Oryzias latipes: one gene and its partner. The protein of the gene in region 1 purifies or fractionates together with the protein of each later gene. This does not show direct contact. Links are inferred from orthologs where the notes say so. Each region holds a gene or a part of one and is shown in the gene's direction. Other genes may lie near its edges.

The links.
Region 2: the proteins of stk11 (region 1) and cops8 purify together in Homo sapiens (affinity purification with mass spectrometry; 3 studies listed by BioGRID and IntAct, with this or other methods). This does not show direct contact. The link is inferred for Oryzias latipes from reciprocal best matches to the Homo sapiens genes STK11 and COPS8.

The regions. Positions count from the first base shown.
Region 1 is NC_019875.2:22,742,544-22,755,022, forward strand, and holds the start of stk11 (serine/threonine-protein kinase STK11), read left to right. Parts: upstream 1-4,660; 5' UTR 4,661-4,898; intron 4,899-5,003; exon of another isoform or gene 5,004-5,237; intron 5,238-6,555; 5' UTR 6,556-7,179; coding exon 7,180-7,463; intron 7,464-10,721; coding exon 10,722-10,805; intron 10,806-10,971; coding exon 10,972-11,061; intron 11,062-11,342; coding exon 11,343-11,475; intron 11,476-11,761; coding exon 11,762-11,898; intron 11,899-11,973; coding exon 11,974-12,101; intron 12,102-12,479. Other genes in the region: sugp1 (SURP and G-patch domain-containing protein 1), read left to right, coding at 1-189, 294-400, 562-739, 1,365-1,471, 2,432-2,577, 2,985-3,114, 3,276-3,302. UniProt on the Homo sapiens protein: Tumor suppressor serine/threonine-protein kinase that controls the activity of AMP-activated protein kinase (AMPK) family members, thereby playing a role in various processes such as cell metabolism, cell polarity, apoptosis and DNA damage response.
Region 2 is NC_019879.2:1,336,416-1,349,002, forward strand, and holds cops8 (COP9 signalosome complex subunit 8), read left to right. Parts: upstream 1-4,846; 5' UTR 4,847-4,906; coding exon 4,907-4,978; intron 4,979-5,382; coding exon 5,383-5,453; intron 5,454-5,940; coding exon 5,941-5,989; intron 5,990-6,247; coding exon 6,248-6,380; intron 6,381-7,173; exon of another isoform or gene 7,174-10,139; intron 10,140-10,485; coding exon 10,486-10,593; intron 10,594-10,669; coding exon 10,670-10,732; intron 10,733-11,247; coding exon 11,248-11,327; 3' UTR 11,328-12,340; downstream 12,341-12,587. UniProt on the Homo sapiens protein: Component of the COP9 signalosome complex (CSN), a complex involved in various cellular and developmental processes.

The DNA.
Region 1 (12,479 bases):
TACAAGGTTCCTCTGCTTTACGGAGCGGCATGTCTGGGCCTCCACACGAGGGCTCAGAAACGCCTCCTGTTAAACGGAAGAGAAAGAGCAGATGGGGATCGGAAGACGACAAAGTCAAGCTACCGGTTCCTCCGATCGTTGTTCCTAATGAAATTACCCCCGAAGACCCGAACACTCCCTCTCTTTCTGGTACTTACACTTACTTTGAAAGCATGATCTACACTTCAATTATAGATTTTTTGGATATTTGACTTTTACCAGTTGAAAATGAATGATTGATGCGTCTGTTTTAGCCCAGGAGCTCAGTGGCCTTGGTTATAAGAAGGGGAAGCCACTTGGTCTGGTGGGGGTGACAGAATTATCTGAGGACCAGAAAAGACAACTTAAAGAACAACAAGAGGTACAAAGACAGGCTCCATGATGTCCTGTGTTGTGTTGTGTTGTTTTTAGCTTCTCTTTTTTTTTTTTTTTCTCATGGCAAAAAGGAAAGTCCATCAAATAAGTGTTTGTTTTCAGCGGGGACAGCTCTCTGATCCTCCAGGGGTTTTGTTTTCTCCACAGATGCAGGAAATGTACGACATGATAATGAAGCACAAGCGTGCCATGGCAGAAATGCAGAACATGTGGGAGAAAGCCATAAAAGAGCACCAACATGAATACGACAGTGATGAAGAGGTCGATCAGGACGCAGGAACGTGGGAACACCAGCTTCGAAAGATGGAAATGGAGAAAACAAGGGGTAAGACCAAGAAAAATACAGAAACGCTGCTGATTCAGAAGTAAATCATTTGAACCTGTTGTGCTTCTCCTCAAATGTTTAGTCTTAATCAGGATCATTTTTTTAACTCCTCATTTGCAGCTTCTAAGGTCAGATTAGTTGGTTTTCCAATTTAGGGCCCTGTCTCTTGATTCAAGGAGCTTTGCAATTGAATTTTACAATTTCATTTAGATTTTTTTTTCAGAGACAAGCTATTTTCTGTCTCTCAGCTACAGTTTTGGGGGAGGATTTTAGAAATGGAGAGCTGGGAGAGGAGGAAAATTAGTTTAAAAAGAAAAACCAACTCATTTATTGTGTTATTGCTTTGAATGTAGTGGTTTTTTTTTTTACTATTACACATTTTTGGTTAATTTGATTTGTTTTATGTATTTTTAATTGGAGGGGGGGTTGCTAAAAATGACAGTTTGTCACGTTTTTTTTACATCTTTTTTTGGCACAGAAATCTTACAATAATCGTTGGATTTCTAATATATCTGCAGTCACATTTTGGAAGAGTAAAAATGAACATGCCCCATGAACTCATGCTTTAATAAACGCACATAACCCTTTTTTTCTGTGGTGATGAAATTGTTTTGTGCGTTTCTAGAGTGGGCAGAATCCCTGACAGAGATGGGCAAAGGAAAACATTTTATTGGTGACTTCTTGCCGCCCGAAGAGCTGGAGAAGTTCATGGAAACCTTTAAGGCCCTAAAGGTAAGTCCTCCTTTTAGTAAATGTGTTTGTGAGCCTTTGGGAGGTAATTGTGTGTAGAAAAAAAAAACAGTAAACAGTAACATATTGCATTATTGTGTAAAACATTTTAAGACGAGGCTTTAAAGAAGGAAAGATTTATTTATGAAGCTCATTTCAAAGTAAATTTCTTACAATTAAATTATATTTAGTTTTTTTATATAAAACTACTGGGTTTGGCTGTAGTTAGTTTAAAATCTTAATCATTTAGTTATTTATTTCAGTCTTGAGTATTTAAGCTAAACTTTACAGAGAAGAAGTTTCTCTAGATGTTCTCTGGGAAAATGTTGTGATGCTACAAAGGTGTGACCTAATATGCTCACATTAACTGGGATTCAATCTTATTTTTTGTAAAGACTCACTCCAATGATTTTGGTGGGTTGGGTAAAGAATAATAGATCAATGTTTGAACAAAATCAAAGATCCAGATATGAATGTGTGATTCTTATTGGATCTTCTCTGATTTGTGTTATTCATTTATTCCTTTAATGAGAGCACACAATATACAATCTCAAAAGCTAAACAAATTCCCAAACTATCTAAAATGCATTTAGCATCCAGTTGGACCTCATTAGTCGCATTTAAACAATCTCTGACAGCTGCAGAGTTGTTTTTTCTGGCAGGCCACAGGCATCTTATAGCATTAGGGCTCTAAACTAGTAATGTCAAAACAAAAAAAGCACCACAAATGTAATATATATCTATCAAAAATTCCATCAAGTATACTATTAGGACGGTTATCTCTTATTGACTGAAAGAGGTATTTAAGCTCTCAGTGGAACCATAAACACCAGGGGATTTGTGGATATGCAGATGTTTTTTTATCTGTATCTGTATCTATGCTGCATAGACAAATCCCTAAAGTTGTCCTCGCCTTCCATGCTCTGTGACATGTCTGCACACTTTTGTCTTCTCAAATTGCAGGAGGGTCGCGATCCGGACTATTCTGAGTATAAAGAGTTTAAGCTGACAGTGGAGAACCTCGGTTTCCGAATGCTCATGAAGATGGGCTGGAAGGAAGGAGAAGGCCTTGGAAGTGAAGGACAAGGAATCAAAGCTCCAGTAAACAAGTACGTCTTTATGCTTCTCAAGTTTTATGTGCGACTGACTGACCATACATACTTAAAACTCCAAGGACAGCTCAATGATTAACTAATATTTCATACCAGTTCTTAGTCAGTTTTACCTTCAATTTCACCTTCAATTTAATCCAGACATAATATTCAGTTTTTTCATGCTGTATTTTTTTTATATCTTAAATTTTTAAGGACGATAATCTAATAATCTAAATTCTGTTTCTTGTAAACTTTTACCAAATTAGTCTGTCATACATCCACACATCAGCTTCTTAGAATGAAGCTTTGTATAGTGACTTTACACACAAAATATGTCTGAAACAGCATCACCTTCCTTTCAGTTGTCAGTAAATCAGACAGAGATAAATGCGTTTTTTCTTTCTGTCTTTAATCTTTTCCAGGGGAATTACAGCCACAAATGGCGGTGGTTTCGGGGTTGACCGTCCAGCTGAGCTCACAAAAAGTGACGATGAATACGACGCTTTCCGAAAGAGGATGATGCTTGCTTACCGTTTCAGGCCAAACCCCCTGGTAACAATCTTCTGCTAAAACTTGTTTACAACTACAGAACTCTCAAAATTGTCGTTTGCTAGTTTAAATTTGCATAAAGCATTGTTCAATAGTTTACCATCTCTTAGATCTGTCCAAATATTTGCACAGAATTTAATCTACCTTTTGTGTTTCTTTTACAGAATAATCCACGACGACCGTATTATTAAAAAAGGGAGTTCTTTCTGTTTGTATCTGTAATATAAAAGCGAGTTGATGTCACTGTTTAGCTTGTTTTTGAAATGTAAACTCTTAATTTAGAACTTAAGCAATTTTAAATGTGATGTGTGAAGAAAGATAAAGTGGGAAATAATGGAAAATGCATTTTTATGTTCATTTAAAAAACTCCTTACTCTGATTGCATTGGATGGAAAGATTTTCCACTGTTTTGCTACATTTCAGATGTAAAAAAAAACGGAAGATCTGCATCGTTGGCATCACTAAGTACACTTTTTTGTGTAGTTCTTACATGGAGTGAGGTCCTCACTGTGCTGTTTTTTTTCCCATTATCTTGAGCTTTGTTAATAATGAAAACAGCAACTCACTGAAATGTAAATGTCTCACATCTTAATAAAAGTGATAAATAACAACTGTTTACTGTGAAACGAGTTTGGACTAAAGAAACCTAAACTAAAGAAACAATCGGATTCACCTGTGTGTTAAGTGCAGGTATTTCTGCAACCTTATCTATCGTTTCCTCACTTCAAATCCATGAACCTCTGAGTTAAAGTATCTTTGACTGAGACTATCAATGTAACATCCTCCAGGTTTACATGGGACAAAAATAACTACCGTACATATAGCCTTCCATCACCTATGTCATCAATCAGAGCCCACTGACATCGGAACATGATTTCATCTTTACTGTTAGAAGAAGGAAAATAGTGTGACATATCAAGAAGAGGTTTGTAATAAATGTTGCTGTTTAAAACTTGTCAACTTCCAAAACAAATAGAACAAACAGAATAATATGTATTTTTGGGTGAAAATATTTAATAAGATGGCCTAAATCTTACTCAAATTTAGGCATCTTGTTTTAATTTCTCAAGCTAACATTTTGACCCTTTTAATCTGATATTGACCAAAGGTCACTAAATATCTAATATTTTTATTTGTATTAATTATTCTTTTGCATATGCGTTCAAAAGTACCTGGTTCCTTATACATCTTTTCTTGGTTAATATTGGTTTTATTTTATTTATCTTTAAGAGTTAATGCTCGTTTGCAAATAAATAAATAAAGCTGTTTTACTTATTTTAGGGTCCCATTACAAATATTTTTATTTTTTTACTTTTTTTTTTTTTTTATGGAACAAATGTTTTGTTTTATTTATTTATTCTCTTTTTTCATGTTTTATTTTTATATCTGTGCCCTAAATCTGCAAGAATTTTTTTTTCTGTAATTGAATAAACGATCTACCTGTATAACAGGTATAAACTATTATCCAAGTCATGCATTAAATAAAAAGGATAAATCTAACAAATGATAAAAATAATAAGACCCGCCGTGAGACATTCCTAGTTGTCGCCGCTCCTGCGCCTCCGGGAAGCGGACGAAACTTTGATTTGACGCAGTAACGTTCGGCACAATCTGCGCAAGTTCGGGAGGAAGGTAAACAAGATGGCGACAACCTGAGAGGAAAGAGTATTACGAATTGTCAGAGATTATTAAGTGTTTTCTCGGAGGGGGGCTCAGAATTCCGAGCGATATTTCACTGTATAAGGACAGACGGACACTGCGGTGGAGACCGGTTCATATGGATTAAGGTAAGAGCCGGTACCGGGAGGCTGCTACTAGTGCTAGCTTGCAAAGCGACTAGCTGGCATTTTACATGGGACTCATAAGCGTCTTGCTAGCCAGCGGTTAGCCGTGCGTTAGTAGTTCCATTTTTGTTATCTGTTCGGTCTGTTTCCGGGAGTTAAATCAATCCCGGTCTGATTTTTCTTGGTGGAAAAGTATCCTGCAGTGTTGACAGGAAATTGTGTTCGCCTCTGACGAACTTTGCTAGCTGCTGTGCTGCACATCCACCGTTAGCTGCAGTTTTGTGACGACGTTTCGGTTATCTCCCTTGCCTGCATATCAGTTCTCAACTTTTACCGAAAAAGGTAATCGTTTTTACCGCTGCTTGCTTCTGTGTTTATATCGACCTAACTGGCCCGACATCTGTGTAGATCCTGAAGAATCAGCAAGTGACAGCTCGAATGGGAAAGATTGCTCATTCACTCAGCGAGAGTTGCTGACCTAGCTTAGCCGCTAACCAACCGTCCAAACTCTTTAAATGTTTACATTCAGATGTTCCTTTGTTCTAACTTTTTTTTTGGCGATAAACTTTTCAAAGTTAGAATTATGTGTAATAAAGCAGACTTTGACTCCACTCTTTACAGCGCTGTCAACTAAGTTAACCATAGCCCAAGGGGGATTTCAATTAAAAAGCTAAGTTTCTGAAGTTCTTGTGGGGAAAAAGGCGCCCGTACATTTGGAATAATAATATTTAATATAAAGTCATTTCCACCATCAATGTATTTTTTTCCCATTAAACTCTGCCTTCGTTTTGTTTTTGTTCTAATAAGTCTAATACCTGATTAAGTGCTAATTTACTGGAAAGAACTAACGTTACATGACTGTTATATTTTATTCATGGGAAATTAAACACGGAGAAAATTTATAGTTAGTTTGTTTATAATTATGGCAAAATATCACATACACAAGTGCAAATATGCTAACAGAAAAACCTGTATGATAGTTTTTTTTTTTAAATAAAATAAAAGAGAGAGACTTGTAAAGGATTGAATCCTGCACTAGAAAGAACTGTTTAACCAGTTGAAGCTTGGTCTCATTTAAAACTTTAGGAGTCTTTTTTTTCCCAAATATTTTTAGCCTTTATTTTTCTTTTTTAAATATTTTAAGTATTATTGCTTTTTGCTGTTTTTATTCAACCTCCTGTCACAAGTTCAATATTTTTGTAGGTAGTATTATAAGATATTCTGTATGTGCAATGTTTGTCAGTAAAGTTTGTTTAAAAGATATATATATATATATATATATATATATATATATATATATATATATATATATATATATATATATATATTACGTTATAACTTGATCCTTTTTTTTATAAATGCAAGAAAAAACAAAGTACTACAAAAAAATAAGTCTGCAAATATTGAACAGACCCATAATGAGAACATATTTGTAAAGGATTATTTTTGATGGCATCCCAAGAATCCCTGTCCATCGCAGATGTATTCTTATTCGATTTAGTAACAGTGGTACAAATGACTCCCTTTGGGTCTTAATGAAGGTTAACCAATCTGGTGTTGTTGTGTAAACAGCTGGATTGAAAAGTAAACTGTATAAATTGGTCTTGGGAGAAATACATTTTTGACTAGTTTTTCATTTGATACTTGACCTTTTTCCCAGGCACTAAACAGTGTTGAGATGGAGGACACCTGACACTGGACGGTTCGGTCGACCTCCCGACTGACACCAGGAATTGGACAGAGCCTGCTGCTTTTTGCCTCCAATCTGAGCTCATCCAGATATCCACCCTAGTGTGTCCCATGGAAGTTGTGCCACACAGTACGGATCTTTGACAGCAATGCCGTGCTGCCAGGTTTTGAGGGAAAAGACATTGCCTTGACCTAAAACTGTACTGTAATTAATAAATTAATAGGTGATTGAGACTAATAAAGGATTAATGTTGTAGAATTATATATTTTTAATTTTTTCTGCAAATGCACCTATAGCTTTAGTTCCTAATGCAGAGTTCTAGGCGCTAAATTGTCACAGCAGACACCCCTTCTCATTGCTCTTGAGGAAGAAGAGTCCTAATGTTTACAGATGTCCAACTGATAATCCCTCAACTCCAAGGCCTCATAATTCCCTCCTCCATTTTCAGTATTTTTCAAATTCTCCCCCTTGAATAGAAACACCTGATTTCCTGCTGACAGATTAACAGTGGATTTTACCCCAGTAGCATTAAAGCCGTTTGCAAACATTGTGTTTCACACAAGGCTAAAGGTGCAGTGTTTGAACTTTGCAGTCATGAGTGCCGGAGAGCTGCATCATCTGGACTATTTAAATGAAAATGAACTGATGGAGATGGACACTTTCATCCACCGCATTGATTCTACAGAGGTGATCTACCAGCCACGGAGGAAGAGGGCAAAGCTAATAGGAAAATACTTAATGGGGGATCTTTTAGGAGAAGGATCTTATGGCAAAGTTAAAGAAATGCTGGACTCAGAAACACTTTGTCGGAGGGCTGTTAAGATCCTGAAGAAGAAGAAACTTAGGAGGATTCCCAACGGTGAAGCCAATGTGAAGAAGTAAGTTTTATTTTATTTCATTTTATTTTTTAGTGTAATCTTGTGCTGATAATTCTCATACTTTAAAATTTAGTTAATTGAGCACCAAAACAGTTTATTGGCTTTTAACTTGTGCGAAGTGTAATGTCTTTGTTTTTAAGAGTAGATTGTGTTTTTATTTAAAGCTCTTTGAGTTGGAAAAGTGAAATTAAATAAAATTAAAATGAAATTGGATTTGATTCACAGGAAAACCCATTGGAGGCGACCACATTTCAGTATTTGTCTTTGTTTTTCTAATCTCGCTAAAGTAACTTTTAAGTTGGAAGAAAAGCTGCTGGAATATTTTTAGTTTTAGTTTTTATGAGGACAGCAGGTTTTCTACTAAATTATTTTGACAAAGCAATGCAGAAAATAGATTAGAATAATTTAGCATCTCCAAAAACTACAAATCAGACGACGGATTCGTTCATTTCTACAAACAGTTTTAGTTTTGGGATCAAATCTATTTTTTTTATTCTGTAACTGCACTCCACAGTTTTGTGACATCACTTCCTTAAAATATAACGAAGAGTTCATCTTTTCGGTGAGCAAAGTGAGCAGTATAGAATAAATTGGCAGCTCCAGATGACAATTGTGTTTATTTACTAGTGTTTATGTCCATGAATTTTTTTATTTATGTTTTTATTCATTTTAATCGTGCTCTTAATGTGAAAGAACAGCTCAGCAATTTCCTAACCTCCACTTTAGATCCATGACTTAAAGTCTGGCAGAAAACAAATATATAAATGGTATTTAAATGCACTTTGTTCAATAGGTTGTCAATTAATTAAAAATAGAAAGCATATTTGAGATCAATTAGATACCAGTTTTATTTTTTTATTTTTTAAACCTGATTGTTGTTGGGAGTTTCTGTTACTGAGATTCCACTATGAGGATCAAAATAACTTGATTCTCACATGGCTGTCAGAACTGACTAATCGCAGCTTAATCACTATTTTGCCAAATTGGATGTTCATCTTTTCTGCATCGTCTCTTCCCTGTGGAGCATTTCAGCTTTTAATTACATTACCATACTAAACTAGGAATCCAGGCTTTTGCTAATTGTTGAGATGGCTCTGGAAAATGGAATAAATGGGTTCCTTCATGAGGGGTAAAAAAGGTCTTGTGCCTGTCAAAACAGCAGGACTAGTAATTCCAGGAACAGGAACGAACTGCATAGAACTGTTTAGTTGTTGCCTCCTGAAGGATGTGCTTTAATCTCTTACTTTTAGCAAACACAAAAAAACAAGAAAATGGAATTTTATCTGTTCCACATGTCGAACAAGGGTTAAAGTTTTTACAAGAGAAAGAATTTTCTAAACTGGAAATGCTACATTGTGTTGTGGTGCTCTGCAGGTATATCACTGATGCAAAAAGGACAGGAAATGTAGTGTTTACAGGGTTTACAGCACCCTGAGCATGGTGGATAAGGGACATTATTTGTCCGCAACAACGACGCTTTCCATGTTGGCAGCAACACTTCAAGGAGATGGATCTCCAGAACAGTTACTGGAAACCAACAGCAAATTAAAAAAAAAAAATGTGTGAAGTTGGGTAATAGCCCTGCTAACCCTTCAAGCTTTACAACAAACATGCTGAAAATGAAAAACCTGTTTGATGCAGCCATGAGCACTATTTCTGGCCCTCTTTATTATGTTTTCATCCGTGACTCTAGAGTTTGTGTGTAAAGAGCAAATGTTGGAGTGAAGAGAAACAATTCTACAGCTGCACAGAAAGACCGTAAAGGGAGAAACTGAATACATTTCAAAACTGAATCTCTTTGTTGCTTTGAAAAGAGCCAATAAAAATGTGTGAGGAAGTAGATGATGATGCTGGATTACACCCCCATAGTTTTTCACAGTCTATAACGCAAGTTTTCCTGTTGCTGTGCTTATGATAGACCTTGAGAATTTTTACACTCTGTGTCTGGATGTCTCTGTCTCTGTGAGTGGATACTTTGATAACCTTAAGCTGATATTTTTCCTCTTTGGCTGCTTGGCATTCCTGTCTTCCAAACAGTTTATCTATCAGGATGGGCAAGCTCTTACTTGCAGTGATTAAGCACTGCCTTCCTAGTTTCTATGGTAACACCCCAAGAAAGGCCTTTCAGGAACGATAGAAGTGCACAGATACGCAGACACACCCTGATTGACTTGAACAGAGCACAGCTTCAGATGTTGGCGACTTGTTTATGTGTTGCTGCTGCTGTTGGTTTGGTTAGATATCGCTGAGTGTTGCAGTCCTGTCAGCGCTGCGGCCTGTAAGCGAGCAAGGTCCTTCAGTACACGTTTGAAGTGACGCCGTCTTTGCAGTCCGTGCGCCTTCTGTGCTGACATGGCCTCTGATTCCATGTTGTGGATTTCATTAGGTGTTTGGATGCACCATTTTACACATTTCCTTTTTGTTTATTGTTCAGTTAAAATTAGAGTTTTTCCCCCCACTAGTGCATGAGTTTTTATACTTTTCTGAGCACTGGTGCAGCCATGTGTCAAATTAAGACCCTTCGTTTTGCCTTTTTTAACCGTGAATTTGTAGTGAAAATGAAGTTGAGGCAAAGAAAAGCTTCTCTTTGTCTTTTACTTTTGTTTATTTTGTCTTCATTACTCCATAGTCTTTAGAACTATTTGTCTTTTGAAGGTATATGTTTTCAACAGAGGCACAAACAATATCGCTTCCCTATGTCCCTAAAGGTCACACATGTGTTATGCAGGAAGGAGAGAACGACAACGTTTTGAGCACCAAACTACAAATATTCTCACGTGTCTGGACTTGGATTTGCAATTATCCTACCCTTTCCTTTATTTCTTTTGCGTCTCTTATCAATGAGGCCACATTGTTTCATATATTTTGTAAGTATTTGATTGTCTTTTCAGTTGGTTTCAGAGTTTGATGTTGCTTTATTGTCTTTGAAGTGAAGCTCATCCTGTTCCCTGGGCTCATTTAGCAGATTCCAATTTGTGTGTTTGTTTGCTTTTTGAAGAAAAAAAAGAAATAACACACCCTCCACTGGAACAGTACTTCACCAAGTTAATCCCGTCCTCAGAACAAACAACTTACGCTAATCTTTCTGTTACTTGGCTTGTGAAAGATGTCAGCAGACTCTTGCTTGCTGCAATGTTTGCCACTTTGACCTGCAATTACTGGAAACATTTTCCAGCATTTTGTGACCCAGAATTCTTTGTTTTCATTGTTTTTAACCTAACAATGTTTTTCCTTGTCATATCTCATTTTCATTTTTAGGGAGATTCAGCTGCTAAGAAGACTCCAACACAAGAATGTGATTCAGTTGGTGGACGTACTTTACAACGAGGAGAAGCAGAAAATATATCCTCAACCTTCTTTTTTAAATGTAGACTTAATCGGATTAAAACCACAGATAAAAGAGCAAAGAAAAATAAAATAAAAATTTGTGGCTGTCAAGTTTTGCTTTAGATTGTTTTGTTTTTTTTAAAGCATCTGGTATGTTGCATTTCCTTGACTCTCGATTTACGTATATGGTGATGGAGTATTGTGTTTGTGGGATGCAAGAAATGCTGGATAGTGTTCCAGAGAAAAGATTTCCAGTGTTCCAAGCTCACGGGTGAGTTCCCTTTTCTCTCCCTTCGCTCTCCAGTCTGAGCCTCTCTTTTTTTTTTGTTATATTTAGCCTCTGGAGTCGCTCCTGCAAGTCTAAGTTTAGATCAGAGTTTGCCAAGCTTTTCTGTAAATCAAGCAGCCAGAGGTTCAGTAAATGTCTCATTGCTCTTGCAAAGCCACTTAATCTGACTTTTCAATTAATTAAGCTTTTTCTGACCACAGTATTGATTGATTGATTGATTTTTGTAAATGCTACCTTTTTTTCTCTGTTGTTGCTTTTTGCAGGTACTTTTGCCAACTTATAGATGGCCTTGAATATTTGCACAGCCAGGGAATCGTTCACAAAGACATTAAACCTGGAAATCTGCTGCTAACCACGGATGGGGCACTTAAAATCTCCGACCTTGGAGTAGCAGAGGTGATTTTGGGTTGTGTTGTTTCTGTCAGGTTTCACCTTTCGACAGCTCTGTTTGTTCTTGCCACCTGAACGTTGGCATGTGCTTGTGTAAGAAAAGGCATTTGGAAGTTTTCTGTCTGTTTAAATCTATGTAGATTATATTCAAAGAAAGATCATTTATTTTGAAAAATGATTTTTGTTCATATTCACTTAATCCACATAAAATAAATGGATTTATTTTTGTTTGGCTTAAAAGAATGACGACAAAATAGGTCAATCATTTTAAAGATATGTACATAATTTACAGGCCCTTCACCCATTTGCTGAAGATGACACGTGTCGCACGAGTCAGGGCTCTCCCGCCTTCCAGCCTCCGGAAATCGCCAATGGACTGGATACTTTTTCAGGGTTTAAAGTGGACATTTGGTCTGCTGGAGTAACACTGTGAGTGAAACTGTTTGTTTCCTTTGACTAATTGTTTATGATTCCTAACCCATCTTACTACTTCTTTTCATTCAGATATAACATTACAACAAGTCTTTATCCGTTTGAGGGAGACAATATCTATAAGCTATTTGAGAACATTGGAAAAGGAGACTACACTATTCCGGAGGACTGTGGACCTCTTCTGTCAGATCTGCTGCGAGGTTAGTGTTGTTCAGACCACACTCCTGTAGGTCTTTAGCTGCATTTATCCACAAAATTATAAAAATCAACTCTGATTTATGCTTACCAGTTGTGAGACTTTCCTAAAATCATTTCTGTAGTTTTCTGAATGACATTGGTTCTTCACTATATAGCCGTTTTAGCTTTTGTAGTTTCACTGTTTTGCTGATCTCTTTGGTGTCATTTTGTCCAGTTGTTTTATTGCTTTTTTTTTTTTTTACACCACCTTATGTTCTGCGCCGTGATTGGCTGTTAACTTTGTTAATCAATCTCCTCCGTGTTGTGTCTCCTGTACAGAATGCATTCATTTAGCCAAATCTATATGAATCTTCAATTGCGAGCAGATCTTTGTTTTCATT
Region 2 (12,587 bases), on another chromosome or scaffold:
GGAGGAGGGATGAAGCAGACAGGGAGCAGTGTGGAGTGTGCACGTGCACGTGGGGGTGGAGATACATGCATGCTGCCGACGTGAACCGTGTGTTCATAAAGGGAGCCAGATCCTACCCAGCCAGACCAGCCAGACCAGGAGAGGGGAGGAGAGCCCCCCAGGCCAGAAGCCCCCCCAGCATCCGGACCCAGGCAGCCCGGGAGGGGAGGAGGAGGGGACCGCCCACCCCACCAGCCAGGCACAGAGAGGGCCCCCCTACAGGGGCCCCCCCAATGCCCAGAGGCACAAGCGAACCCAGTGTCCGGCCCCCAGGCCACAAGACAGGAGCGCTTAGCCGTACCAGGCGGCAGCCATGGGGGCCACCGGGCGCCGGACACCGAGACAAAGGCCAGGGACGAAGCCAGGGCCCCAGGAACCCAAGAGCCGGCCACCACCCGACCGGCGCCCCGTCCCCGCAAGCCAGCCCAGGCCCGCGACCTTAGCAACCCAGGGATCGCCACGCACCCACAGCCACAGCCACCCCCCAAAAACCCTACGCACTACCCCCCCCCCCCGCCATAATATCTGACCCCCCCTCCCCAACCCTCTCAGTGCCCTCCCCTCTCTGTGATGGGGAGGGAAAGCCCCAGAGGGTCCCAGCGAGCCAGCCCCCAGGTCGGTCCTACCCATGCACTCACACACACATACTCACAATCATCTGGTTACCCTCCCTACCCCCGCCGCCAAGCAGCAACCCCCCCCCAGCCGGCCGACCCCCAGCGCCGCATGCCCGACCCCTCCCGCAGCCGACAGGACACCCATAAGCCCGGCCGCCCCGAGAGGACCAGGCGGGTGAAGACCGGCCGCCCCCCCTCGACCCCACCCATGTATGGAGGTGTGGGAGTGCTGTGTGTGTGCTGCAGGTAAAATAGGAGGTCACCAGTGTGGGGGGATCCACCGCTGCCAAGCCGCAAAGCCCCCCACTCCGGAGTCCCTCTGTGAGTGGTGTGTATTTGCTGTGTGTGTGCTGCTAGCATGCAGTGTGTGTGTCTACAGAGGAAGTTAAAATTGTGGGGGGGCCAGCGAAAGGTGAGCACGGATGTTTCACCGTGCCCCCCTCCACCAGACCCTCTCCACAAGGCCCTAGATGAATCAGAGTGTCTAATATGCAAGTAAAAAGCGGGGAGGAGGGCGGGTGCCAACGAGAACCCAGAGAGGGGCATCCCCAGTGAGCCCCGCCAGCATACCCCTCCCATCCAGATCCCGGGGCCCTATGTGCCTGTGTGCAATATTTGTTTGGGTGAGAGCGGGGAGGAGCGGGCGGATGGGCACAACCGGGGGAGAAGGCTCCCCCGAGCGACCGGCCCCCCAGCCGGCCGCGGTAGGCGCTCCCCCTCCCAGAGCGGCCGGGCAGCCAGAAACGCCAAGCCAGCCGCAGTTGGAGGCCAGAGCCTCGCGGCGCCGAGAGACAGCCAGCAAGGAAGGGTCCCGGTGCCAGAACGGGGGGGCAGGGGGTCCAGCCCCTGGCCCCCCTAAGGACTAGCACCCTGCCCCCCCAGGCCCCCCCCCCAAAAAAAAAAAAAAAAGTAATAATAATAATAATAATAATAATACTAATGCTAATACTAATAATAATAATAATAATAATAATAATAAAATAATTAATATAATAATAATAATAATAATAATAATGAAATAAACCCACCCAAGTGAACCCATTAACCCCTGCTGTGACTGCGGCGCCGACCCCCGGGGGGCCAGGTCACGCGCCAACTACCGGCCACGGGCGAAACACCGGCCACGGGCAGACGACCCCAGGCCCCAGAGCCCCAAGCCCCCCCCCCAGCCCCCGCCACGGCGACCAGCCACCCAGCACGGCACCCGGCCGCCGTTCCCGGTCAGCCGCACTGCCTACCCTGCGCCCAGCAGGCACCCGCCCAGGAACCCCTGCCAAGTTGCCGGCAGAGTGTGCGCCCCCACCACCACCCCACCCAGGCAACCAGAGCCCCGAGCCGGGAGAACGACAGGCCCGGCAGAGCCCACCCCCCCAAACCCACCCCGGCCCACCCAACCAGCCAGGACCCGGCTCAACCTATCACCATCCCACCCCCACTAGGTGATGTGACTAACCAGCTGGAGCCAGGGAGAGTCTGAAGCCGACAGGTTTTTTGTGGAGGACATTATCTCTGAACTAATATGCTCTGACATGAGGTTTCTGTAGTGGTTGATGCTAAGATTATTTTTAGATTTCCAGTTTAGGAGGATAGTTTTCTTTGCGATACATACAGCGGTGAGAACCATATAAGCCTTGTTAGATTCCATGTTGATGTTATTCAGGTCACCTAATAAGCAGAATTTGGGGCAAGCAGGAATCTTATGATTAAACCAGATTGATAAATCCTCACAAACCTTACGCCAGAATGATTGGACAGGTGGACAGACCCACAGGGCATGCAAATAGTCGTCTATGTTGTTACCTATGCACTGTGTGCATGTAGCAGACTCTTTGAGACCCATTTTAAATAACCTCTGTCCGGTGTAGTGAGTTCTGTGGAGAATCTTGTACTGAATAAGTTGCAGATTAGGGCTTTTGGTCATATTAAAGGCATTCAAACAGATCTGTAGCCAAAATTGATCACTAGAATTCAATGATAGCTCAGACTCCCATTTTGTCATGGGTAAGTAAATGGTTTCATCTATGTCTGATAACATCTTATAAATTTTGGAGGTGAGTTTGGGATTTTTAAGGTCCATGAAATGTGTTACTGTAAGGGGAGGGTCTAGGTCTATTTGGGTCAGGCAGTATTTAGTGCTTATAGCTGATTTAAGCTGCTGATATTCTAGAAATTTGTTTATATTAATTCCATAGGTTGAGGATAACGTTGAGAGGGACATAAATTTTCTATTCTGAATTATATGCTGGAACTGCTCGATTCCTTTGTTCTTCCATGAAGCAAAATGAATCATGTTTTTGTTAATAAAAATGTCAGGGTTGTTCCAAATGGGGGTAAGTTTACATGGAAATAATGTGAGGTTGTTTTTTTTAAGAAAATCCCACCAGGCTGTTAAGGATGAGCTGATGTTTAAACTTCTGAAGCATTTGTGTTGTTTAATTTTAGAACTGAAGAAAGGTAAATTAGAAATATCTAGGTTATCACAGAGATTTTGTTCAATGTCTAGCCAGGATTCATCCAGCACACCAGGATTCAGCCATTTTTGTACATAACACAATCTGTTCGCGGAGTAGTAGTCCTGGAAGTCTGGAAGGCCTAGTCCTCCTCTATCTTTAGGTTTTTTAATAGTTTTTAAACTAATCCGTGGGGGTTTACCTTCCCAGAGGTATTGGGAAATGAATGAGTCTAATGATTTGAACCAAGTAGTTGGAGGTTTGGAAGGAATCATTGAAAATAGGTAGTTAATTTTTGGGAGAATCATCATTTTTATGGCTGCAACTCTCCCGATTAGAGAAATGGGTAGAGTTTTCCATCTAGTGAGATCAGCCTCGGTTGTTTTAAGTAGTTGGGTGTGGTTTAGCTTGAGTAGATCAGAAAGCCTAGAGGAGATATTTATACCTAAGTACTTTATGTTGCCTGTTTGTATTTTAATAGATGACGGATTTAGATAATTGCAATTAATTGGTAAAATTGTGCTTTTAGACCAGTTTATGGAGTATTCTGAAACTGAGGAAAATCTATTAATTAGGGAGATGATTTGGCAGATGGAAGATTGTGAATTAGGAGTAAATAGTAAACATCATCTGCATAAAGTCTTATTTTGTGTTTTAAATTTTTGGTTTGAATGCCTTCAACAGTCCAATGGTTTTTGATGGACCTGCTGCATCTGCACGTTCATGTGGCGTCTCATGTTTAGTGGCCACCGGCTCCCTCTGGTCAAGTTTTACCACCAGCTCTCTTGGAACTGGATATAGGCCGCTCTAAACAGACGCAAAGATTCGCTGTGAAAATGCCTGAGCTTGTTTGGCTCCATGCTTGTGAGAGAAGACATTCTCTGTTATGAACTTAAATAAGAACCGCGTGAGGACGGGACTGAGGGTCTGTCACTAGGGGGGCAGTCTTTGAGCCAGATCTGACCTTTCTGCTGCAATCGAGATCTCAGTATCAGCATCCCATTAGTGCAGGGAAGTTCTTTATTCAGTCTTCTGTAGTGAATCATTTCTAAAATGGCAGTTTGTGTGTGTGTGTGTGTTAAAAGTACAGAGGTTTGTACTGAAAGAGAAAACAGTTTGTGTTAAGTTTTCCTGTTCAAACAGTTTAAATCTAGAAGTTCACGTTGAGCATTTAACAGTGAATAAAACTTAACATTTCATAGGAACCCAAATGTATTGTTGATCAACTTTTATTTTGCGGGCAGACCTTTTATTTTATTTGTAGTCTTCAAATGTGGAATTCACAGTCAATTTGGTTCATATTTATTTAATGAAAATATTACTGCAATAAAACTGTACATTCAACTGTTCATTTGCATCATTTGAATTTAATCTTATTAAAATAGTTCAAGAATTCAGGTCGAATCTAGTCAGCCAACAATTGTTCAAGTTCTCCCACCTAAAAAGATGAGAGGCCTGTAATTTTCATGATAGGTAGGTAAACCTCAACTATGAGAAACAAGATGAGAAAAAATCCTCGTTTGAATTTTTTCCATGTTATTTTGGAAACTGGCAGCACAGAAAGAGAAAGGATTGTTTCCTTGGATTTTGTAAGAGAAACTGTTCAGGGTAGTTGTTACAGAAAATATTTTTTTACGCCTGTAGATGGTGGCAGTATGACACGACAGTCTTCTTTCTTCTTGGAAGAAAGCCATACATTTAAACTCCGTCCAGCAGGGGGCAGTGTGTGTCGCTCCCCCGGAAGCTCTACTTTGAATCCCTACAACAGAAGAAGCTCCGGCGCTTCGGCTAGGCGTCATCATGCCTACAGCTGTGACTATGGAGGAAAGCTTTGATAAATTACAGGAGCAATGCGAGGCGCAGGAGCTTGAGGTGAGGAGCAGACGCTTCCGGGTGATGCGGGGAAGTGGGCCGCTGACGCGTCTGCGGCAGCGCGACGCCTCGGCTGTTTTAGCCACGGCCGAGGCTAATGATGCTAGCTAGCGCCGATGTAACTGTCAGGACGCTCCGGCTCCTAGCCGTCGCTAACGGAACGTCGTTGGCAGAACGAACAGAAAGACTCAGCGATGTGTGCAGACGCGGGATCCGCTCTGCTGTCGATTCTAAGCGCAATCTGTGGGATATCCCGGTGTAGAAATGTCGTTAAAACTGTCTTCAGTTAGCCTCTGGCTTTACTACATTCAAAACTAGAAAGGAAAGATCAACGTCCGCGCATGCTCAGACTAACTCGCTTCTCCTGTCTCCCCCGTTGCCCCTCCCCGCTCTGCTGTTGCTAGGCGCCAGGAGGCATCGCCACCCCGCAGGTGTACGCGCAGCTGCTGGCCCTCTACCTGCTCCACAACGACATGTGGGTGAAGCGCGCGCGTGCGCGCTCCCGCGAGCCTCTGGAAGATGCATCGATTTGTCTTGAAAAAACGAGGCCTTCCTCTGAATAGATTTTCCACAGAAAGAATTCTAAGAGTTTCTGAATGTTTCAGGTTTTCAAAAGTCTTTTTTTCCCAGCCTCCTTTGAGGTTAATCCTTTTTTTGTTGTTGTTGTTCAGCATCATTACACTCACAAGTGTTCAAGCATAGCAATGCACTGACTGCATTCAAACCGGACAACAAAAGAGAAAGACGAACTAGAGCCAGTGTTCAGGGAAGTCCTTTAGCGTTCACTCAGAAGGGTTCTTCACACCACAAGGCTTTAAAACATGTCTATCTTTAAAAAAAGAGAGACTAAGATTTTGTACAGCTTTGTTTGTGTTCGGTTGAATCCCATTTTTGCTGCCTGCAGCTGCATGTCTCATCTCAAATGTCCTCTTTATGTCTTTCTGTTGAATTGCGTCTAACAGGAACAATGCCAGGTATCTATGGAAGCGAGTTCCACAAGTAATCAAATCGGTGAGTAATCACAAGGCCTTTTTTTCCCCTTTATTTCATGAAAAGTACCAGTTGCTCTCCACTTCTTCTACTGATGTCACTGTTCTCTTTCTATGCTGCTAATAGTCTGACTGGCTTCAGTCGTAGACACTCCTGATGTTTGTCTGTCTTAAAAACGGCACCGTATTCAGGTGTTAGTCCACCTACAGGGGTTTTTAGAGCCCCTGCCTTCATGAAACGGTGCGGGAACATGGACTTGTCTTTCTGTGATCCATTCAGGCGAACCCCGAGCTCACAGCGATCTGGACCGTAGGCCAGCACATTTGGCAGAGAGACTTTCCAGGGATCTACTCAGCCATTGAAGCTCACCAGTGGTCGGAAAACATCCTCCCAGTCATGGAGGCCCTTCGAGGTAATTACAAAAATCAGGACTTGATTTAAGTTCTTTAAGATGATCTGATCATTTCTTCTACAAACCACTAATTAAGGCAAAGTTAGTACTGTTCATACATTGTGCTCTGGGGTTGGTGTGGAACAGGAAGCTCCTCTTGTGGGTTTGCTAAAGTGACTTCAGGATTTTCATTGGATAAGAAATACCCCAGTTGGACTTTGTGACAGCTGAAGGGCCAATTGTGATGCTTTATGTCCACTTTATGGAATATTTGCTTATTTTCTTACACGCTCAGTTTTTGATACGGATGGATTTTCTTACGGCTTTTATTCTGACGGGCTGAAGACTGAGGTGTTGCTGTCATGTGATGTTTGTGCCAGAGTTTAAGAATAGCTTCTCTGGGTGTTTATGGTGCTTGCTGTTGATCTGCCATTCATGCTGAAAAACAGACAGTCATGACACTCTTGGGTAACATCTGCTGAGGACACGGGGCTCACACACCAACATGATCTTTATCCAGTGCCAAAGTATTCACATTACATGTTTTTACTGTATTAGGACACTATGTCTTCTACATTTAATTATTTGCAAGAGAAAATACTTGAAAGATGTGTCTGTAGTTCTTCACATGGTCTTACATTGTTGCCCTTGATTGACATCCTGTGTATTTTACTTTTTGTTAAAGTTAGAATAGAATAATTATAGTCATTGTCATTTAAAATGCTCACTGGTCAGTTCGCTCTGTTTCCAAAAACATAATAAAATATAAGTAATACTTAAAAGTAGGTATAAGAATACAAAGCCCTTTATTATGTGATAAGCCCTTGAAATATAAAACCCTGAGAATGAATGTGTTTCCATGTTTACCCACTGATGAATAACCCTGAGAAAAGGTTGAATTTGGAAAAATCAAACTGTTGACTTGCTGTTTATCAGGAGACCTGAGCAGGATGTTGGCTGTGCTCCTCACATCTAGTCACATGCACCTTGTTTATCTCGGATCGGTCCACTGTCCCGGTGTCCTGTCAGGGAGTGTTGTGCCCACTGGGCCATGTGACACAAGTGGCTGTGGATGGTGGTGCAGTTCTATGAAAAGATCCTAGGCCTTCCAGCAGTCAGGAATGTTTGTTGTCAGGATGGAAAAGATCGGGTGTCACCAGCTGCCGGCGCCCCTATAAAAGACCGAGCTGTAAGCTCTTGACCAGAATAGATCGTAGCCTTGGAACTGACTGTTGGAGACGAGATCGCCTACTTTGCTAGCCGTTCTGATCCTTTTACCAAGGCCTTTTGACTTTGCTGGAGGTGTGGACACTTGTTTGTTCGGCTTTAGAACAGAGACTTATTATGGATGTCCAGAGGACAGGATCCATTGTTCGACCCCCCAGCCCCATGGATAGTCTTGAGAAGCAGTTGAGCTGCCCCATCTGCCTGGAGATGTTCACCAAGCCCGTGGTGATCCTGCCTTGTCAGCACAACCTGTGCCGTAGCTGTGCCAGTGATCTCTACGACTCGCGCAACCCATACCGCTACTCGGGCGGAGTCTTCCGCTGCCCGACTTGCCGCTTTGAAGTAGTGCTCGACCGACATGGTGTTCATGGCCTCCAGCGCAACTTGCTGGTGGAGAACATTATTGACATCTACAAGCAGCAGCAAGAAGGTCGAAACAGCGGCGACACGGAGACCAGCCTGAAGACCAAAGAATCCAAAGAGCCCATGTGCCAGGAGCACGACGATGAGAGGATCAACATCTACTGTGTGACCTGCCAGGTTCCCACCTGCTCCATGTGCAAAGTGTTCGGCCAGCACAAAGACTGTGAGGTGGCTCCTCTAGAAACCGTGTACCAGACCCAGAAAGGTGAACTGAGCAACGCGATAGATACCCTGGTGGCTAGTAATGCTCGCTTGCAGGCTTTGCTGAACCAGATGGACGACGCCTGCCGTGCCGTCCAGGACAACGCTCAGACCGCCAAACAGGGGCTCGCCGAGCGCTTTGACCTCTTGTACGCCATACTGGAAGAGCGCAAGGCCATTTTGCTGGAGCAGATTGGGAAGGAGCAGGACGAGAAGGTGGCAGCTCTGCGAGCGCTGGCTCAGCGGTACGGGGAACGACTGCAGGCCAGCACCGAGCTGACGGATTCAGCTGTCAGGGCACTGGAGCAGAACGGAGCGGCCGAGTTCCTGCTGCTCTCCAAGGGCCTCATCACACAAACCAAAGATGCAGCCAAGTCCTCCCTGGGGGAGGAGCGGCCAGAGCCAGGCTTTGAGAAGATGGACCACTTCACTTTGTCCACAGAGCATGTGGAGACCCTCCTAGCTAAAATGGACTTTGGCGTTGCTGATGATGAAGATTTTGAGGATGCTGAGGAGGAGGAAGAGTAACTAAAAATGGTTTCAAATAACTTTGTAAATGTTTTTGGAGGCTTCTTTGTTTTTGATATGTTAGGAATATTCTATTAATTAAATGTAAGGTCATGTATGACAAACAGGTGGGCTGCAATGACACGCCCTTATATGTGCAATATTGTTTTTAAAGGAATATTCAGAATATTCCTTCTTTAAAGGCAGACAAATTTCTTCAGATATCTGGTGGATAGACTCGTCTTTGACCTCGTCCTCAAAAAGGAAAAAGGATGTACTTTTTGACACGTTCTCTGTAATATTCTGTTCCTTTCTTCTTGTCTTTTTTATACTTTTGTATTGGAAAGTCACATAAATTGAAATGAGAAGTAAAGAGTGATATGTTTTGAAAACTTCACATTATTTTAATAGATGGCATTTGAAATTCTTGGTCTCACTCTGTGGAAATCTGGGAATCTGTCCACTGATGCCTGGAATAAAGTTGCATGAAGCTGAGCTCCTGCTCCAGTGACTTTTGCACTCTTTCAAAAAGCCCTTTTCTCATTTTGACCGTCATGGCCCTCAAAGGTTGGACATCTCCTCAAAATGTGGAAGTGCGCCACTCGCGTGTTTGTTGAAGGTCTCAGTGGGTTAAAAATAAAAGCCCTTCTGCTTTGCCTTTGCTGGTGAAATGTTGAGGTTATTTCGAAGAGGTGAAAGGCTGACAGCTGATAGAGGGCCCTTAAATAGACTGAGCTGGGGCACGCCAGGTCCTGTTTCTGCTCCCTAAAACCCCCGTCACCGTGCTCTGGCATGTCTTGCTCTGCACCTTCTGGACAACTTTAAAGTGTCAAAGGGTCATGATGGGAAAGGCAGGTCCAGCTGCTGCTCCAAACAACTCCTTAGTGGCCCAAAGGAGGTAAAAATACATCCTCAGGCCTATGTCATCGAAGCTCCCCAAAGTCGCTTGGCTCTCAGCTCAGGGGGTGTTAAACTGAACCATGAAGCCCTGCCAACAGACGCCTGCACACGCTTGGTCTGGAGCATCACTTTAGGGCGGGAAGCTTCGTGTCACTATTTGAAACATCTTAGTTTAGGGGAATTTCCGGACCGCCTTCTCTTCTCCGGTCTGTTGCTACGCTGCAGCCTGCTGTGGGTACACACAAGCTGTTGCTAGCCGATAAAACACGGAGGCCATGACCCTGAGGAGCCTGTGCTGCATCAGCCCCTGTCATGACGGATCTGCACACGTCGGAGAAACGCCGTAAGGACCTGCAGCCACTGCCAGGACTCCTGTGGGTCACAGAGTGCAAACACTCGCACAGAAGAAAAACCTGGATTAGTAAGCAGGTATTGGTGGATGCTGGCAGTCCTTGACAGTATTGCCAAGGACTTTTTACTGTTGAAAGGGGGGTCATCATAGAAGTCTTCAGTTGCACACAGGTGAGCTTGCCTCCTGACGCTCAAAGTTCTTTGAACAGGACTTTTAGGTTCTTTTTTTATCTTCCTTTGACAGTTTCAGGAAGATTTTTTTTCTTAGTTTGTGTGTTCACTTAACATTTGCTTAAAAAGGATGTGCACAATTGGAGGGACTACATTTAGCACACTGGTGAAACAGGGTGACCGAACCGGCCGAGTGGACTGTAGGTTTGTGGCTCGTCTCTGTTTCCCTGAAATGTGACGTGTAAACCCACTGCTGAGGTTCTGCGAGCACACGCTCTAGTGGCTGCTGCCTCCTCCCTATGGCCTTCGAGCGGAAACCTTCAGGTGTCTGCATGTGTCCTCACAGAGCGCACACGGCAAAGGGCCTACAGCCTGGTGGCACAGGCGTACACCTCCATCACAGCCGAGGACTTTGCTGCTTTTGTGGGTTACTCAGTGGAAGAAGCCGTCAAAGGTAGGAATTCACAGGAAAGGAGGGACTTGTATGGACCAGCTGATTTACCCAGCTCTTGTCTTTCCTCCTAAATCAGGCGTAGTGAGTCAAGGCTGGCAGGCGGATCCCACCACAAGGATGGTCATGCCCATAAAACCAGGTAGGGGGCAGCATTGCCAAAATAAAAGACTTCCATGTCCTTGTTGCCATGATCAGTTTATTCTGAAAATGTTTAGATTTATAAACTGACATGTTCTAAGCATTGTATAAAAAGTGAAAGTCTGCTTCCACTTTTTCTGCATCCGCCTCCTTGAAAAGAATTAAAATGTTGATCATTTGTAGCTTAAGGCCCTATTTTAGTTTGAAATTCCTCTGATCATGCCTTAGTGCTAAAGAAGCAGCCCCAAAGGGCTTCTCTTTCCCACATGTCAGCATCTGCTGCACACATGTGCACGGATTCTTCTGCCTGACTCACTTAACGTCACAGTGCTTAACATGCAACTCCAAAGAGCTGCGCGCTGACGGCCCTACAGGCAACACATGGGCCGTGTGGGAAGAGATGGCATTGATCCTGTGAGCACACGCGTGTTCAAAGATGGGCATCCGAGGTGGAAGGAGATCTGCTGGACTGGCTCTGGAATCCCCTCTGACTCAGCCTCTCCACCGTTTCCACAGATCCTCCCCCAGTGTCCCTGGTTCCAAATGAGCAGCAGTTGGCCCGACTCACAGACTACGTGGCTTTCCTGGAGAACTGATAACCGGCCCAACATCCCTACCTGTCTTTGTCTGCTTCGCAAGATCTCACTCCACTCTTCCTGTCTGCATGAATTCATTTGGCCTTTGAACTCTTCACAGGGTTTATGTTCAACCAATGAACACAAGCTTTAATATTCAGAAAGGCTTTTGTTTTCTCTGTTGTGCCGTAAACATTTAGGCCCAAGTTCTGCGGCATCAAAGTCCCAATGTGGCCGTAAATCTGCAAAGCCTCGGTTGGTTTGGAGAGTGTGGAGCCCCCCCCCTCTGACGTCATGCTTTCACTGGTGTTTAGGTTGATGAATAAATGCTCGGATCTTCGTAAGCAAGTTTTCATCCGTTCTTTCACTAAACTCAAGAAATGTCCTGAAGGATTCATCCTGAAGGAAGATGTGGTGGTTTCCCGTTTGTCTCATGTCTGGGGCTGGACGGTATGAGGAAAACCCCGATACAAGTGATCAGTAGTGCAATGATGATGTAACTTGTGAAACATGAACAGATAGCAAAACAACCAAAAACATACCGTTCACATAACTGCAACAGTTTCATTTAAAGAAGAGTAGACCCTCGTCTACAGAGGAGGTTAACATCTAACATAAGAGCTCCATCCGATTGATCAACAGCATGAAGGCGTCCGTCTGATTGGTCAAATGCATAAATGGATTGATTTGATTGGTTACATGCTTCAAGCTGCCATAAACTTGCTGTTGCACATTAAGGGTAACCAATTATTTCAATTTTCGTCGTCTTTTGTGATATGCATATGGCACAGCTTGATATCGATAGCGATAAACTTGCGATTTATTGTGCGGCTCTACTCATGTCCATAGTACAGGTGTCTGGTGGTGTTGTAGACCTTTGAAAGAATGTAACTCCTGACTAATCTGAAGCATCTTTCACATTTCTGAAATGTTCATGTCTCTTTTTCCTTGACTTCTTCATTTTAGGATGTAAATGTTTGGTGAAAAATGTATTGAGTAAATATCACAACATTGTTGTGTTACAGCAAAAAGTATCCGATTATCGTAGTGCATTGCTTTGGTAAACTGTTATTCCCAGCTCTGATGCTGGAAATGTTCAGCAAAAACCTGCAAGTTCCTTTAGAAACTATTCACTCAGCTTCTGGAAGTCTGGAGTGGATTACATGGATTACAAAAAACACATGGTCCTAGATTGGGATCTGGGACCATGTCCCGGTCGATCTGCAGAGCAGCCAGTTCATCTGTTTGGGTTTTCTTGATTCTTAAGACGTAAATATATTT